2 linked regions of the Lonchura striata genome follow. The protein of the gene in region 2 interacts with the protein of the main gene of each other region in a pairwise test. Links are inferred from orthologs where the notes say so. Each region holds a gene or a part of one and is shown on either strand. Other genes may lie near its edges.

The links. The genes of interacting proteins can lie anywhere in the genome.
Region 1: the proteins of ZC2HC1A (region 2) and CASTOR1 interact in binary tests that used the Homo sapiens proteins (3 or more experiments, as listed by UniProt). The two-hybrid records come from large-scale screens. The link is inferred for Lonchura striata from reciprocal best matches to the Homo sapiens genes ZC2HC1A and CASTOR1.

What each region holds. Positions count from the first base shown.
Region 1 is NC_134620.1:2,664,586-2,672,338, forward strand, and holds the start of CASTOR1 (cytosolic arginine sensor for mTORC1 subunit 1), read left to right. Parts: upstream 1-4,738; 5' UTR 4,739-4,807; coding exon 4,808-5,010; intron 5,011-5,134; coding exon 5,135-5,205; intron 5,206-7,392; coding exon 7,393-7,586; intron 7,587-7,668; coding exon 7,669-7,753. Other genes in the region: TBC1D10A (TBC1 domain family member 10A), read left to right, coding at 154-268, 481-546, 1,553-1,742, 2,019-2,173, 2,342-2,734. UniProt on the Homo sapiens protein: Functions as an intracellular arginine sensor within the amino acid-sensing branch of the TORC1 signaling pathway. As a homodimer or a heterodimer with CASTOR2, binds and inhibits the GATOR subcomplex GATOR2 and thereby mTORC1.
Region 2 is NC_134603.1:29,971,505-29,978,386, reverse strand, and holds the start of ZC2HC1A (zinc finger C2HC domain-containing protein 1A), read left to right. Parts: upstream 1-3,873; 5' UTR 3,874-4,042; coding exon 4,043-4,058; intron 4,059-6,882.

The DNA of each region.
Region 1 (7,753 bases), on a different chromosome or scaffold from region 2:
TGGGCCGAGCCCCAGAGCTGTTGGCCCGGCTTTGTGTGGAAAAGGGATCCCAGCCAGGGAGTGACCCAGGCTCGAGCCTGGCGTGCACGGGGAAGGCTGCTGGGCCACGTGCGTGCCGTGTGCCCAGCTGTGCGTGCCCGGGTGTCTCTGCAGGCAGCAGGACCTGTTCCGGGTGCTGAAGGCGTACACGCTGTACCGCCCGGAGGAGGGGTACTGCCAGGCCCAGGCGCCCATCGCCGCCGTCCTGCTCATGCACATGCCGGCCGAGGTACGGGCACGTGGCTCAGGGGACAGCTGGCACCTCCTGGAGCGTTGTGGGGCCCTTTGGGGGGTGCTGATGAGTGGGGTGCCCGGCTCAGGGCAACCCAAAGGGCTCCAGGGGTGCTCTGCTGCTTGCCACCCTCTCCCGTGGTTCCTGGGAGCAGGGAGTGGGCCACAGGGATGTCCTCTGAGTGCTCACCTGCTGTCCTTGGCTTGCAGCAAGCGTTCTGGTGCTTGGTGCAGATCTGTGAGAAGTACCTCCCTGGCTACTACAGCGAGAAACTGGTAAGTAAAGAGCTCATGGTGCTTTCAGCAGTGGCAGGGACCTGCAGGGTGCTGCATCTGGGTTGGGGCAGCCCCTAGCATCAGTCTGGGCTGGGGATGAAGGGATCAGGAGCAGCCTTGGGGAGAAGGACACAGGAGTGCTGGTTGGTGAGGGTTGACCACACCCTGGCCATGTGTCCTGGGCTGAACCCCCAGTGTGGGCAGCAGGGGAGGGAGGATTCTGCCTCTCTGCCCTGCCCAGGTGAGGCCCCACCTGCAGAGCTGCCCCAGCCCTGGGGCCCAGAACAGGAAAGACCTGGAGCTGCTGGAGAGAGTTCCAGAGGAATCCATGGAGCTGCTCTGAGGGCTGGAGGTCCTCTGCTCTGGAGCCAGGCTGGGAGAGCTGGGGGTGCTCACCTGGAGAGGAGAAGGCTCCAGGGAGAGCTCAGAGCCCTTGCAGGGCCTAAAGGGGCTCCAGGAGAGCTGGAGAGGGACTGGGGACAAGGGATGGAGGGACAGGACACAGGGAATGGCTTCCTACTGCCAGAGGGCAGGGATGGATGGGAATAAATTCCTCCCTGGGAGGGTGGGCAGGCCCTGGCACAGGGTGCCCAGAGCAGCTGTGGCCACCCTATCCCTGGAAGAGTTCCAGGCCAGGTTAAACAGGGCTTGGAGCAACCTGGGATAGTGGAAGCTACCACAGGGCATTTGGATGGAATGAGATGAGTTTTAAGGTCCCTTCCAACCCAAACCATTCCACAATTCTGAATCTCCAGGCCAAAGACTTGTCCAGCTCCTCACCCTGGGGAAAGAAGGGGTCTGAGGAGGGGCTGGGTATTCCCACAGTCTCCCTGTTGTGATGTGGCTCCCAGAAGCATTCAGGGATGGGGGTCTCAGTGTAGCATCCGTGGGACACAGCTCTGCTCACATCAGGTGTAGAGGGTTGGCTGCCCTTGCTGGGACCTGGCCCTGGGGGCTGATCCCAGGGCTGGGGTATTCACTGGGATGCTGGTCCCTGTCCCTGCAGGAGGCCATCCAGCTGGACGGACAGATCCTCTTCTCACTGCTGCACAAGGTCTCCCCTGTGGCCTACAAGCACCTGAGCAAGCAGAAGATCGACCCCATCCTGTACATGACGGAGTGGTTCATGTGCGCCTTCTCCCGCACGCTGCCCTGGAGCTCCGTCCTGCGCGTCTGGGACATGTTCTTCTGTGAAGGTAGGAGCTCCCCACCATCCTCCTCCTCCTCACGGGGTGACTGCACTCCCCACGGCCATGGGACCTGTAGCAGGGCAGGTTTGGGGCAGCCACAGCCACCAGTGGAAGTGGGCAGTTTTCCTGGGGGTTAGGAGGCATGTGCATTCCAAATTCACCCTCTTGCATGTCCTGACCGTTAGTGGGACTGGGATGTGCTGTCCCACAGCATTTGAGGGACACGGTGGCAGTGTCACCCTGTCCTACCTGGTACTCACTGCGTCTCGTCTCCTCTTGCAGGAGTGAAGATCATCTTCCGGGTGGGCCTGGTGCTACTCAAACACACCCTGGGCTCCTCGGACAAGCTCAAATCCTGCCAGGGCCAGTATGAGACCATGGAGAGGCTGAGGGCCCTCAGCCCCAAAATCATGCAGGAGGCCTTCCTGGTGCAGGAGGTGAGGTGCTGGGGACGGCCTGGGGGCCCAGTGCTGCCAGACTGGGCTGTCCCTGGGTGGGCGGAGCATGGGAAGCAGCCCCCAAAAAGCTTCCTTAGCAGTGCCCTGAGGGGGATCCCACACCCAGCCCCGGTGGCACTGTCGCTGATGGAGCAAGTGTCCCCACAGGTCATCGAGCTGCCGGTGACGGAGCGTCAGATCGAGCGGGAGCACCTGATCCAGCTGAAGAAGTGGCGGGAGACGCACGGAGAGCTGCAGTGCAAGTCCCCCCCGCGCCTGCACGGCGCCAAGGCCATCAGCGAGGCGGAGCCCGCGCCGCGCAAGGCTCTGGAGCCCGTCCCCTCCATCATCGTTTCCCCCGGGCCGGCCCCCGTGCCCAAGGCCCGCAAGAGCAAGGAGAAGAGCCGGGAAAAGGGCCCGGCCAGTCCTGCCAACGGCCCCGGGGCCGAGGGCAACGGGGCGCCCGGCACGACCCGGGAGCTGCTGCACCCGCAGGTCTCCCCCCACCACCAGTCCAAGGAGAGCCTGAGCTCCCGGGAGAGCGAGGACACGTACTTGTAGGGCCCGGCCCACACCCCGGGCAGCCGGGCTCAGCGGGGCTGCGCACGGACCCGGGCGCGAGGACACCCAGGGGGACCCCTGGCACCCGGCGCTGGGGGCTCTGAGCTGGAGGGATGGGACAGGGGGGCTGTGCGGCTCCGGGAGAACAGCGTGGCCCTCTCGGGGCATCCGTGGAGCTTGGCCAGGTGTGGTGACCAAAGGGGACACCGTGGGTCTGCGCTGGGTGCCCACCCCGCAGGGTGCTGGCACCACGAGCGGTGGGAGCCCGGGCAGGGGGTGGCTGAGCCACCCGAGCTCCCTCCCCACGCTGGGGGGCTGGGCTGCCCCTTGGGCCCCTCTCCCCGTCCCAGAGCCCCTCGACCCATCACCCCCCGGGTCCCTCCTGTAGCCCCCACCCTGCGCCAGCCGGGCAGCCCCAGCCCCAGTTCCTGAGCACTTAGGCCTGGCGCAGGGCACTGGGGGTACACGAGGAGCCCTGGGACCCCTCGCCCCCCTCTTATCTAGTGAGGATATATCAAGCTGTAGCCCTATATGTAGTACCCAACTTACCTACTCACTGAGCCTATTTATTATTCCTCTGAGGCAGGACAGGGACCGAGGCAGGATGTGCTAGAGGCGGCGGGATTTGTTGCCGAGTTTTGGGGCTGAAGGCCCCCCATCCCATCCCCTCCCATCCCCAAGTTCCCCACAGCTCAGGGGGAGTGTTTACCCTGCCAGGGCTCACCCCACCACTGCCACCCCCCCCCAGGCCCCAGCGCAGGTGAGACGGGGTGGGTGAGCAGCAGCCAGGTGCCCCCTGGTTGTGGGGTCCCCTCTGCCCCCCCCGCCCTCCCCGAGGGTGGGTGGTGGGTTTGTAAAATAAAGCGGGAAAAGCAGTTTTGTACAAAGGGGTCAATAAAGCGAGTGTGTAAAGGCGCAGCCCCGGCTCCCACCTCTCTTGGCCTGGGATGGGGCTGGAGGGTGGCAGGAGGCAAGGGTGTCACCTCCCCTTTGCTGCACCAGTACCAGCTTTGGGGGTACCCTGACCTGGACCCTGCCCATGGTTCTCTATCCCTGGGGGCACCCTCCCCTGCATCCCATTCGCACTGGACACTGACCCTGGCATGCACCCTTCCCTGGGTCCCTTCTCTCCTGGCTGCCCTTGTCCTGGGGGCAGGTGCTGGGCAGTGACCTGGGAAGGGCCACGCTGCTGTCACTGCTCTGTCACCGCAGAAGATGGCCCAGCCCTGCTGTCTCACCAGCCTTGTGGCTGCCCCTTTGAAGTGGAATGGGAGGAGACTGAGACCTGCCCCAGCTTGTGAGAGTGGTGGCTGCCAGGCTCTGGTGCACTCCCACCCCAGCACCCAGGCCTTTCCCCTTTTCCCACTGTCACAGCTCCTGTGGCTGAACAGAGCCAGGGGACCCCAAACTAATCCCATGACACCCCAGAGCTCAGCTTCCCATCCCAAAATAGTGCCCAGGCCATCTCTCTCTTTCTTCCTGCAGGCAAGAATTCTGCCCAAACCTCCATTCCTCCCTCCACAAACCCCTTTTTCCCAGGGTGGACCTGGTTTGGTGAATCCCCTCTCCAGACCTGGCGTTGGGGCTGAGCATGTGGGACCCGGTTGGGTGCTGTGGCTGGGGGTAGAGTGGGGTTGGCAGTGGCTCCCAGAGGGTCTCCCTTGGTTGGGCATGCCGGGCTGTTGAATTGAAGGTGGTTTGGGCCCCCAGGGCTGCATTTCGGGGGTACTCTGGGACTCTGAGTTGGAGCTGCTCCAGGCATCCTGGGGCGCTGAATTTGGGCTGGTTTGGGCACCACGGAGTTCTGCACTGGGGCTGGTTCCGAGGCTCCGGTGGGGCTATCCCGGGTGTCCAGTGCGGGCATCCCGGTGGCCCGGGTCGTTGCCTTTCTGGCGGTGCGGGGCGGTGCGGGGCGGTGCCGGGTCGCGTCCCGAAGCGATGGGGGCGGTCCTGGCGCCAGGCGGGCGGTCACAGGGCGGTCCCAGAGAGAAGCGGAGCGTTCCCGGATGGGTCCCCGGGCGGTGAGGGCGGTCACAGGGCGTTGCCGAACCGAGGCGGGGCGGTTCCGGGGCGATGCGGGGCGGTCCCGGGCCGGTCCCGGGGCGGTCCCGTGTCCGCCCTTATAGTGGCGGCGGCGGCGCTTCCCGGGGCGGCGCGGCCGCCATGGACCTGCACATCCTGGAGCACCGGGTGCGGGTGCTGAGCCTGGCCCGCCGCGGGCTCTGGCTCTACACCCACCCGCTGCTCAAGCTGCTCTTCCTGCCCCAGCGCTGCCGGTACCGGCTGTCCTCCCCCCGCCACCACCCTCCTCCTCCTCTTCCTGCTCTTCTTTCCCCGACTCCCGGCCCCGGGAGACGGCGGCGGTTTTGAGGTCAGCAGCACCGATTTCTTCTGCTTCAGATGCAAGTTCTTCAGCCTGACGGAGACCCCCGAGGACTACACGGTCATGCTGGACGAGGAGGGCTTCAAAGGTACCGAGTGGTGGGTCCCTGGCAGGGCGGGCTGGCACCGCCGGCGCGGGCTGTGCGCGTCCCCAGCCCGGCTCTGCGCCTGGGCCGCGGGGAGCGAGTCCCGGCTTGTGCTTGGCTCCCTCGGAGCGTGCCCGTCCTGCCCCAGGCGCCTGTGCCGGGGATGTGCCGGCTTGCCCGGCCGGGGCTCTCCCGGCGTGGCTGCCCTGCTCCGCCAGCCCCTCCCGGGCAGCGCTGCCACCGGGCTGCGGTGCCGGCCCGGAGCCCGGGCGCTCCGGCAGGGCGCAGGCTCCTCCCGGGATGCCCGCGGGCGGCGCTCCCGGCTCTGGCAGCCTGTCATCGTTCCCGTGTCCAGTTTCATCCCGCCCCTGCTCCCGGTGAGGGCCAGCTGCAGCTTTGGCAGAGCAGGGCAAAGCACAGGCGCGGCCAGGCTGGCAGGGGTGAGTCCTGTCCGGCAGCAGGGTCCAGCTTTTGGGGTGAGGTTGGATCCCTTCCAAGCCAGTCCCTCTCCCGGGGAGGTGCCACTTGGTGACGTCCCCACATGGCCCGGCACGTGCGGTGTGTCACCCTCACCGCCAGCCCTGCCGGGCCACCGGCCCGACGGGCTGAGCCAGAGGGTCCGGATCCCGCCCGCCTTCCCACGCCCAAACCTTCCTGCCGGGGCCGCCGCGGGTCCTTGGCCGTGACCCAGGGACAAGGTCAGCGCTCCGGCCACGGGCACTCGCGGCCAGGTGCCAGGCTCACCTCCGTGTGCTGTGGAGCGGGACCGTGTCCCGGGCTCTCCCCGCTCCCAGAGCCAGAGCCGTTCCCCACGTATTGTTGTATTTTGGGGCATGCAGACAAATATTCCTCAATCCCGAGGGGAGGGCGGGAAGTGCTGAACAATGGTCCTGCAAGCCTGCGGCCCCGCAGTGCCCCGTGAACCCCCCTTGGCTGCGGGCTGCCAGTGTCCCCCTGCTGCCGGGCTGGAAGGGGACCCCCAGCACAGGAGAGCTGCACCCCCTCTTCCCTTGGGATCAGGATTAAGCCCTGGGGTGGGTGACATAGGGACAGCGAGGCCCCCTTGCATTCAGCCTCGCCCAGGGTGGTGTTGAAAAGCGATTAAACACTGAGCTCTGGGACAGGTCCCCATGTCCCTGAGTCCCTGTCCCGCCCCGCTGTTCCCAGCACTGGGCCCTGGGCTGGAGCCGAGGCTGTTCTGGCGCTTCCTGCGCAGGAACAGGCGCTGGGAACAGCCGCCAAGGCTCCGGATCCGGCCCCGCTCCCGCCCTGCCCCGGCCCAGTTTGGGAGCGGAGTACAGAGCCTGTCCCCGGATGGGGGCCCCTCAGTGAGGGCTGGACCCTCCCCCGTGCAGCCTCCCCTCCACCACTGGCGTGGTGAGTCTGGGGTCTCAGCTGGGCTTGGGCACTGGCTGCCCACCCAAGGGCTGGGGGCTTGTGTGGTCTCCCATGGGAGCTGCTCCCACCTTTCCTGGATAGGAGGAGTGGACTGGAGACTCCTTGGGGCCCTGGCCCGTCCCTTGATGGGAAGGGGAGCCCAGAGAAGAGGGAGCAGCCTGACTGAGCCCTGGGTGCCCCAGCAGTGCCAGCCCCTCTCCTGGGCAGGAGGGTGGGAGGCAGGAGCAGCTGGTCTATGCCCACCCTGCCAACACCAGCAGATTTTTGGGAAGCAGCTGTGGCCCTCTGGCAGCCTGGGCTCTCTCCACCAGGCTGACACTAGGTGCTGGGACTCCCAGGACAGCAGGATGACCCTCTCCTTGTCCCCTCCAATGTCCTGTGTGCATCCCTGAACATCCCTGGTGGTGGGCGCTGGGCTGGAGGCTCCTGGGGGGCAGAGGATGAGCTGGGCAGCCCCACGGCCCTGGTGATGCTGGTTTGGGGGTGAAATGCCAACATCCCCATACACCCAGCCTGCGGTGCTGGCACAGGGAGGAGAGACACATCTTGGGGTTTGGGGGCCTGTAGCTTTGGCCCCCCTCGTCCCTACGGCCAAATCCCAGTGTGGAGCAGCTGAGCCCTGTCTGGTTCTTTCCACTGAGGATGGGGCTCAACTGCACCCCCAAACCAGTGTCCCCACACCTGGGGCTGATCCTGCCTTGGGGATCACCCATGGGACAGCGTGGCACGCAGTGCCTGAGCTGGCACTGGCTCTGTGTCGGGCTGTGCCTCAGTGTCCCCGGTCCCTCGCAGAGCTGCCGCCCTCGGAGTTCCTGCAGGTGGCAGATTCCACGTGGCTGGCGCTCAGCGTGGTCTCCAACGGGCGGGAGCCCCCCGGCTGCCAGGCCACCGGCGTCACCAAGATCGCGCGGTCGGTCATCGCGCCGCTGGCCGAGCACCACGTCTCGGTGCTGATGCTCTCCACGTACCAGACCGACTTCATCCTGGTGGGTGACGGGCACGGTGGCCCTGGCTGGCTGTCCAGGGGGAGGGGTGGCAGTGCAGCCCTGACCCCGCGCCCCGGGGCAGGTGCGGGAGCGGGACCTGCCCGTGGTGATCCACACGCTGGCCGGGGAGTTCGACATCTACAAGGAGGAGAGTGGCGAGTGTGTCC
Region 2 (6,882 bases):
TTTTGCATTGCATTTTACCAAATATATCCTTTACCTTTCCAGGTATCTCTCACACAAGAGTGGTTACATGACAAACAGGGCTTACACATAGGAAGTGAGTCGAGTTTATTGTTGCTAGTCAGGCTATGCCAGCCATAAACATCTGCCAGTCACAAACAAGAAAAAGACAACTTTATATCTCAGTAGTATGCCAGGGACCTATGAGGACAGTCCTCCAGTTCTTCTGCAAGAGATCTTGACAGATTCTGGCAGAAAGATTTGGTGCCACTGCTTCCCTAAATTTTGAATTTCAGGACAATTTCAAAACTTAGACCACGATTCCATGTCTTTAGGCCCATGAAAATTCTGACTTATGCAACCAACAATCTAGGCTAACCTGTAACTTTTATCTCTGCCCACAAACCATAGAGAAAATGGGTTTTCTAGTATATCACAAACTCTTCATTTATCTTTTGCAACTTATCCCTGTGGGCAGACTCCTTTTTTTACTAACGAAAAATGAAAAACTGTCCCTTTATTGGCCAACAGGACACCTGAGTTTCTTTGGAAACTGTGTCAATGTTAGGTGGCCTCTCTGCACACCTGCTTAATGTCTGAGTATACCTCAGATTGACTTTTACCTCTCTTCTTTGGAGCTCTTTCTGGAGTTTGGGCACAGGTAAGCATGGCTGTGCTAGTGTTTGTATTTCAATTCTTTGAAATAAGTTTGAGTAAGGACGATATAGCTTTTGCATTTAGGGCTGTATTTTCCTGATCCTTCTCAGAGACACTCAGGATTCTGAACACTCAGAACAGTAGGTGTTCAGGCTGCATTACTTTTTAGAGGCAAAAATTTCTATCATCACTGATGACTCCACAAAACAACCAATATGGAAGAGGCGCTAAATATATACTGGTGCCTACAGGCTTACCATAGCATAGCAAATGTAACCTAAGATGTATTCATAGAAATATTCCCAGCAGAGGCAAAGAAGTCTTAGTGGTGCAGTAAGATTACTTCTCTGGGACAGTTTAAGATTTTGACCACATATAAAATATGAGCTAACATGGAATTGTCCCAATAAAGGGTACCATGATGGCTACAGAAATGGAAAGCAGAGCTTCTGAAGACAGTACTGAAGATCTCTATTTTGTTTAGGTTAACAAACCAAATACTGAAGCATAACGGATGCTAATTCCCTATAAATGCATAAAAGAGATAAAAAATAAAATACATAAGCCAAAAATAAATGTTGGCACAAGTATACATGATGCTAACTAGCAATTAATAAATTTAGCATATTGTTTGGAAAAAAAAAATCCTAAATTTTATAGGGAATGTCATTGCATCAAAGACTTGAGTTTGGCACAGTAAGTCTACAGAAGGAAAACACGGAGTTGGGGTTTTTTTCAGTATGAAGATAAATTTGTGAAGGCATTCATGTAGCACAGTGGCTATGACCACAGAAGCCTCGTCCCCTGTTCCCCACACAGACACCACAGTTAAAAGACAGCTCTTTTTCAGCACCAGGAGTCCTTTAAAGTGTGCTGTCCACAGTTATAGTTGTACAACACCCTGTGCAGACACCAGCCACAAGAGCCAAAAGAACCTTTTAGTTTTGCAGCAGAATCCTACTCTGAGGCAGGTACTGATGATTCACTTGTCTCTTAGCTTGGAACAGATGATACATTTGGCCAAGCAGCATTGGTCAACAGCAGCCTCTGGTGGAAGACCTCCTCAGGCTCAAGATGCCCATAGACCATATCAAGGACAGAGGCAAATCTATAGACTGTGTTGGAGAAGTTGACACCTCAGATGTGAACACCACACTGTAGATACTTTAAAGGTAGGTGAAGTAGTAATTACACCCCTGTTATATAAATGTCCCTGTTTTTAACAAAAATAACCCAACATTTCAAAGAGAAACAATAAACAAAACCAAACAAAATGCACCTCTAATAGGAAGCCCTTCACTAAACTGAGAACATTTTCTCCTCTAGTTTTGAATTGCAATCCACACATAGGAATGTTATGAAAGGAAGTGCACTTCTGGTAAACTGTCCTAATGGTAAGTTTATCATTAAATGTTTGCTAGGTATAGGCTTATTTAAGTTCCGTGTCAGAGATTTAAAGGATCATTTGCAAAGTTTAGAACTTTGCAACTTGGTGGCAATCTAGTTACTTCTGGCATGGCCTGTAATTTTATAAGCATAAACTCTAGAGACCAAAGGCAAATCTGAAATGTACTTTTACTAAATTAACTAGAAAAAATTGCAGCAGGAATTATCATATATACGCAAGCTTTTGGTCTCAAATGATGATGTTAATCATATATTAGTCATGATTTATATGCTGGCTGTTTGGTATGCAGCATCTGGGTCTATTTGTTCTGTGTCATGGGGATGCAGAGATGACAACATGACCATAATCTCTAATTTAATGTCGTTTTTATGTATTTGTTTCTTTGTTTTGCATTCACAGATGTGCTGTGATAAGGACAGTAACTGTAATTCTATGGACAAGTGAATCTGTATCAACCAACTTGTCTAGCATAAGAAGACAAATTATTTGCATGTGCCTGTAAAGACAGCTATTATTTCTGTAAGATTTATTGTACTTTAGAAAAACTTTATTAGTTGTTCATGGCATATTGCCACAAGAAAGACAAATAAAAGATCTTAAGAAGTAATTATAAAATAATACCTTGAAGAAAGAAATATTGAAATGCTTTGGTTGCTAAAAATGTGGAGACCTCTTCTGAAAGGATCAGAAGAATTTCTGTATGTATCAAGCATTTTTTATATTCAGTAGCCAACAGCAATTTAATAGCAGTATTTTCTAAAAACATCCATACTCAAATGTTATCCTGTGGCAGGAGATTCCATCAAGATACTAATCTTTTATTAGCAACTCTTTCAGTTAAGAAAATAACGGGGGGGGGGGGGGGGGGGGGCAAGGGGTGGGGTGTTGCATTGTCTGCAATTATTTTATTTTCAGGACTTGAACCTGAAAAGTTTTTTTTTTTTTTTTGTGTACTTCCTGTAGTCATCCTAGCTTTCTCATCAGCAAAGGGATACCCAATAAGGCCACACATCAACACTGGGTTCAGCTACTGGGTGCTGAGGGTGGAGGGTCCCCGGCACCATCCGAGTTGCTGCCCATATCCATCCAGAAGCGCTGGACGCTTTGTCGGCTGCACGATCATTTCTCCTTATGTGCTTCGCTTTGGTCTTCATATTCAAGGAGGGTCGTGGAGTCTCCCTCTCAGGAGATCTTAAAAACCACCTGGACTCGTTCCTGTATCACCTTCTTTAGGTGATCCTGCTTCGGCAGGGGTTTGGACTGGATGATCCCCAGGGGTTCCTTCCAACCCTAACGATTCTGTGATCCTGTATTTCACGTAAAGGCGCTTCTCTTTGAAGGAGATCCCTGATCTCAGCACAACCTAAACGTATGGGCTTCAGGACCCGTCAGATCGCACCTGAGTCAGAATACGCCAGGTTTTTGCAGGGAGATGCCCAGACCCGGAGCCCTGCTCCCTTGGGAACCCAGGCGCAGCCTAAGGGCGGGGGCACGGCCGGGGCCCGGCACCGCGCTCCGCTCCGGGCGGGGGCACGGCCCGGCCCGGCGGAGCGCGGCGTGCGCCCGCTCCGGGCGGGCGGGGGCACGGCCCGGCCCGGCGGAGCGCGGCGTGCGCCCGCTCCGGGCGGGCGGGGGCACGGCCCGGCCCGGCGGAGCGCGGTGTGCGCCCGCTCCGGGCGGGGGCACGGCCCGGCCCGGCGGAGCGCGGTGTGCGCCCGCTCCGGGCTGGGGCACGGCCCGGCCCGGCGGAGCGCGGTGTGCGCCCGCTCCGGGCTGGGGCACGGCCCGGGTCCGGCGGAGCGCGGCGTGCGCCCGCTCCGGGCGGGCGGGGCGGCGGTGCCGGGGCAGAGCCCGCCCGACCAATGGGAGCGGCGGTTGTTGGCGGGCCGGGCGGTGGCGGCGTTGCCACAGCAGCGGCGCTCGGAAGCCGAGCCCAGCTCGGAAGCCGAGCCCAGCCCGAGCCGGCGGTCGGGGCGCGCCATGGAGGGGCTGGAAGGTGAGCGGCAGCGGCGGGGCCGAGGCGGCCGGCGGGCGCCCGGGGCCAGGCGGGTCATTTGTGTTGCGGCTGAGGCGTGTTCGGGCGGCGGGGCGGTGGCAACGGGGCCCGGGCACCGCCTTGCCCATTCGCGGAGCCCCCGCGGCCGGCGGCGCTGCGGGGCTGGGGTGGGGGCTGCGGACAAAGGCGGCGGCGGCGGGGCCGCGCTCCCCGCGCTCCCCGCGCTCCCCGCGCTCCCCGCGCTCCCCGCGCTCCCCGCGCTCCCCGCGCTCCCCGCGCTTTGTCTCGGGCGCTGCTCCGCTCCCGCGCCCGCCCCGCCGGCCCCTCCCTGCGGCGGCCGCGCTCCGAGCCCGCTGCCGGGCCCTGCGGGCTGGGTGCGGCGCAGTGTGCGGGCATCTCTGCCAGGAGCCCTTCTTCTTTTTTGCTAACAGATGGCCAAGGTGGGTGTTAAGATCCGCTTATCTTGCTAGGGAAATGTTCAGTGCGGTGAAGAAAACTAGGTATGAATTTGCTGACAGGGTATTTTCAACTTTATCCTTTGCGGGTTGAATTAATGGAAACGTTCTTACTCTCTGAAATTATAACATCATCTTTATCAGTGATGTTATCCGTCATAGCATAGATATCAACTTGGAATTAATGAAATTATAGCTTGCAATCTGAGCATTTTTGTAGGCCTGTCATTACTGCATTTTGCAAGCTGCTTTAACCATACTACTTTAAAAAATACCTGCTTTGAAAAACTATACAACACAGTCATTAATTCTTCCATGCTCTACTTCTCTAGAGGTAACTTAAATAGGAGTAAGCACAAACTAGCCTTTGTTCTTTATCCCTTTTAGAACAGTTGGAGAACTAAAGTAATTTTCACAGAATACCTATGTTCTGTCTTTAGTAGATTTTACAGTAATCAGATCCTGTTCCTCAGCCTAATGACTTCATCAAGACTCTAAATTTGAACATAACTTGGCATTAAAATCCCAAGAGCTTTCTTTGATTCACTTGGCATTCTTTGCTGACTGTTAATGCCTTTGAAATTTGAAACATGGTGTCCAGTGTTTATCAAATAATACCTTATCAGGCATTCCAGCTCTCAGGACAATGGTATGTTACCTCTCCAAAAGGGGAGAGTTTCCCTTAATTTTGACTGTGAATTCGACTGCATTAGAGACTGTAGATCATCTGCAGCACATCTATCAATTGATTTGGCTGTATGCTAATTTACCAAGGCACTTTATACTTGCTTGTCTTATGTAAGCTCTAGCACTTTAATTACAGGGGGTAGGAGAAAAGTATCTACAGATAACAGCAGAATTTTGAAAAAACTTGTGATGTTTTCATTAAACTTGTCCAGTTCCTGACTTTGTTGGAAATTATTTATATCTTGTTTGTATTTCAGAAGGTATTGGGAATGGAGGGAACTGCTAGATCACAGGTGAAATCTCATGTTTTACTGAACCTTTTCTTGAAAGTACTTTCAAAAGCTAGAGCTTGTCAAAGCATTTTTTCCATTATGTGAAGTTATTATTCTGCATGCTTGAGATTAATTTCAGAATAGCACAGGAAATAAGTTATGTCTAAAACTCCAGCTGTCCTTGCCTTGTGAACACTCATTATGTCACACTATTATCCACCGTCCTTGAATGCAGAAGTTTTTGAAACTGAAGAACAATTTTCTGCATTTTTATGGGTCATGTTTTTATTTTTTAAAAGCCACCACAATATAAAATACTTTTCTGCTTCAAAACATTTGAAGCAAGTGCATTTGCTTTTATTTACAGTTTTTCAGTTTAGGCTGTCTCTGTTCATGAATATTAGCTTAGGCTCAGATTAAGTTTTTGTAGAAAGGTCACCCTAGGACAGAAAAAAATGTAGGCAAAGCCAATAATAATAATAATAATAAAAAATTATTTGGTATCATGCTTTTATTCATATTATTGCTTCATTGGCAACTCAGAAGAGTGTTGCTGGTTGCCATCTTTGATTAAATTTATGTTTGGATGTGCAATTGCACAGTCATACCCATCTGACATAGAAGTATGGACAGCTTCTGAAATCTGGCTCAGCCTGCTGCCTCATTATATTAGTGCTTAGTAATATAATTTCCCAGAGCTGACTGGTGCAGTAGGTTCTTGGCAGCTGTATGTGTGAGGATCATGGTTATGGGGAAGGGCAGGACTTTCTGTCAACAGCAGCCTCTTGGTGTGTCTGTGATGGTGGAAGACCTCCTCAGGCTCAAGATGCTTATCCAGGACTTTCCAGCCTCAGAAGCTGGTGCTTTTGCTTTGCTGAGGATCAGCATTATACATGAAAGATCTGGTTTGCTTCAGTTTACATAAGCACACTATTAATAAGAAAGAGCTCTACCCAGTTTATAATGATCCTTTCCAAAACATGGAGAGATGAATGTGTAATGCTTGGCATGTGGAACTGCATTAATGACATTTAAAAAGCTAATTAATATTTTCAGTGTCACAGTTGCATTTTCTCACTATGTGCAAGTTTAAATGTTCTGTGAAATGGCAAAGTAGGTTTCTATGTCACTTAAAATTTTCTTGTAAAATTTACTTTTGTTGCCCCTTTGAGGCTGTTGCTCTATTAGGTTATTTTTATCAGTATTATTGTATTACTAGATTGAGTCAAATTTGTACCTTTAAGGTTTGTAAAAGTAATGAGTGCATGCTTGTCATTAGAGGTAGTAAATCTGATACTAAGTCTAAAGTTGCTAGCTCAACATTTTTTACTTTGTAGCTTGCATGCTGTTTGGCTGGTTTTTTAAAATTTTCATTTAATTTACTGACTGTCTCTGTCTGACAGTGTAGTG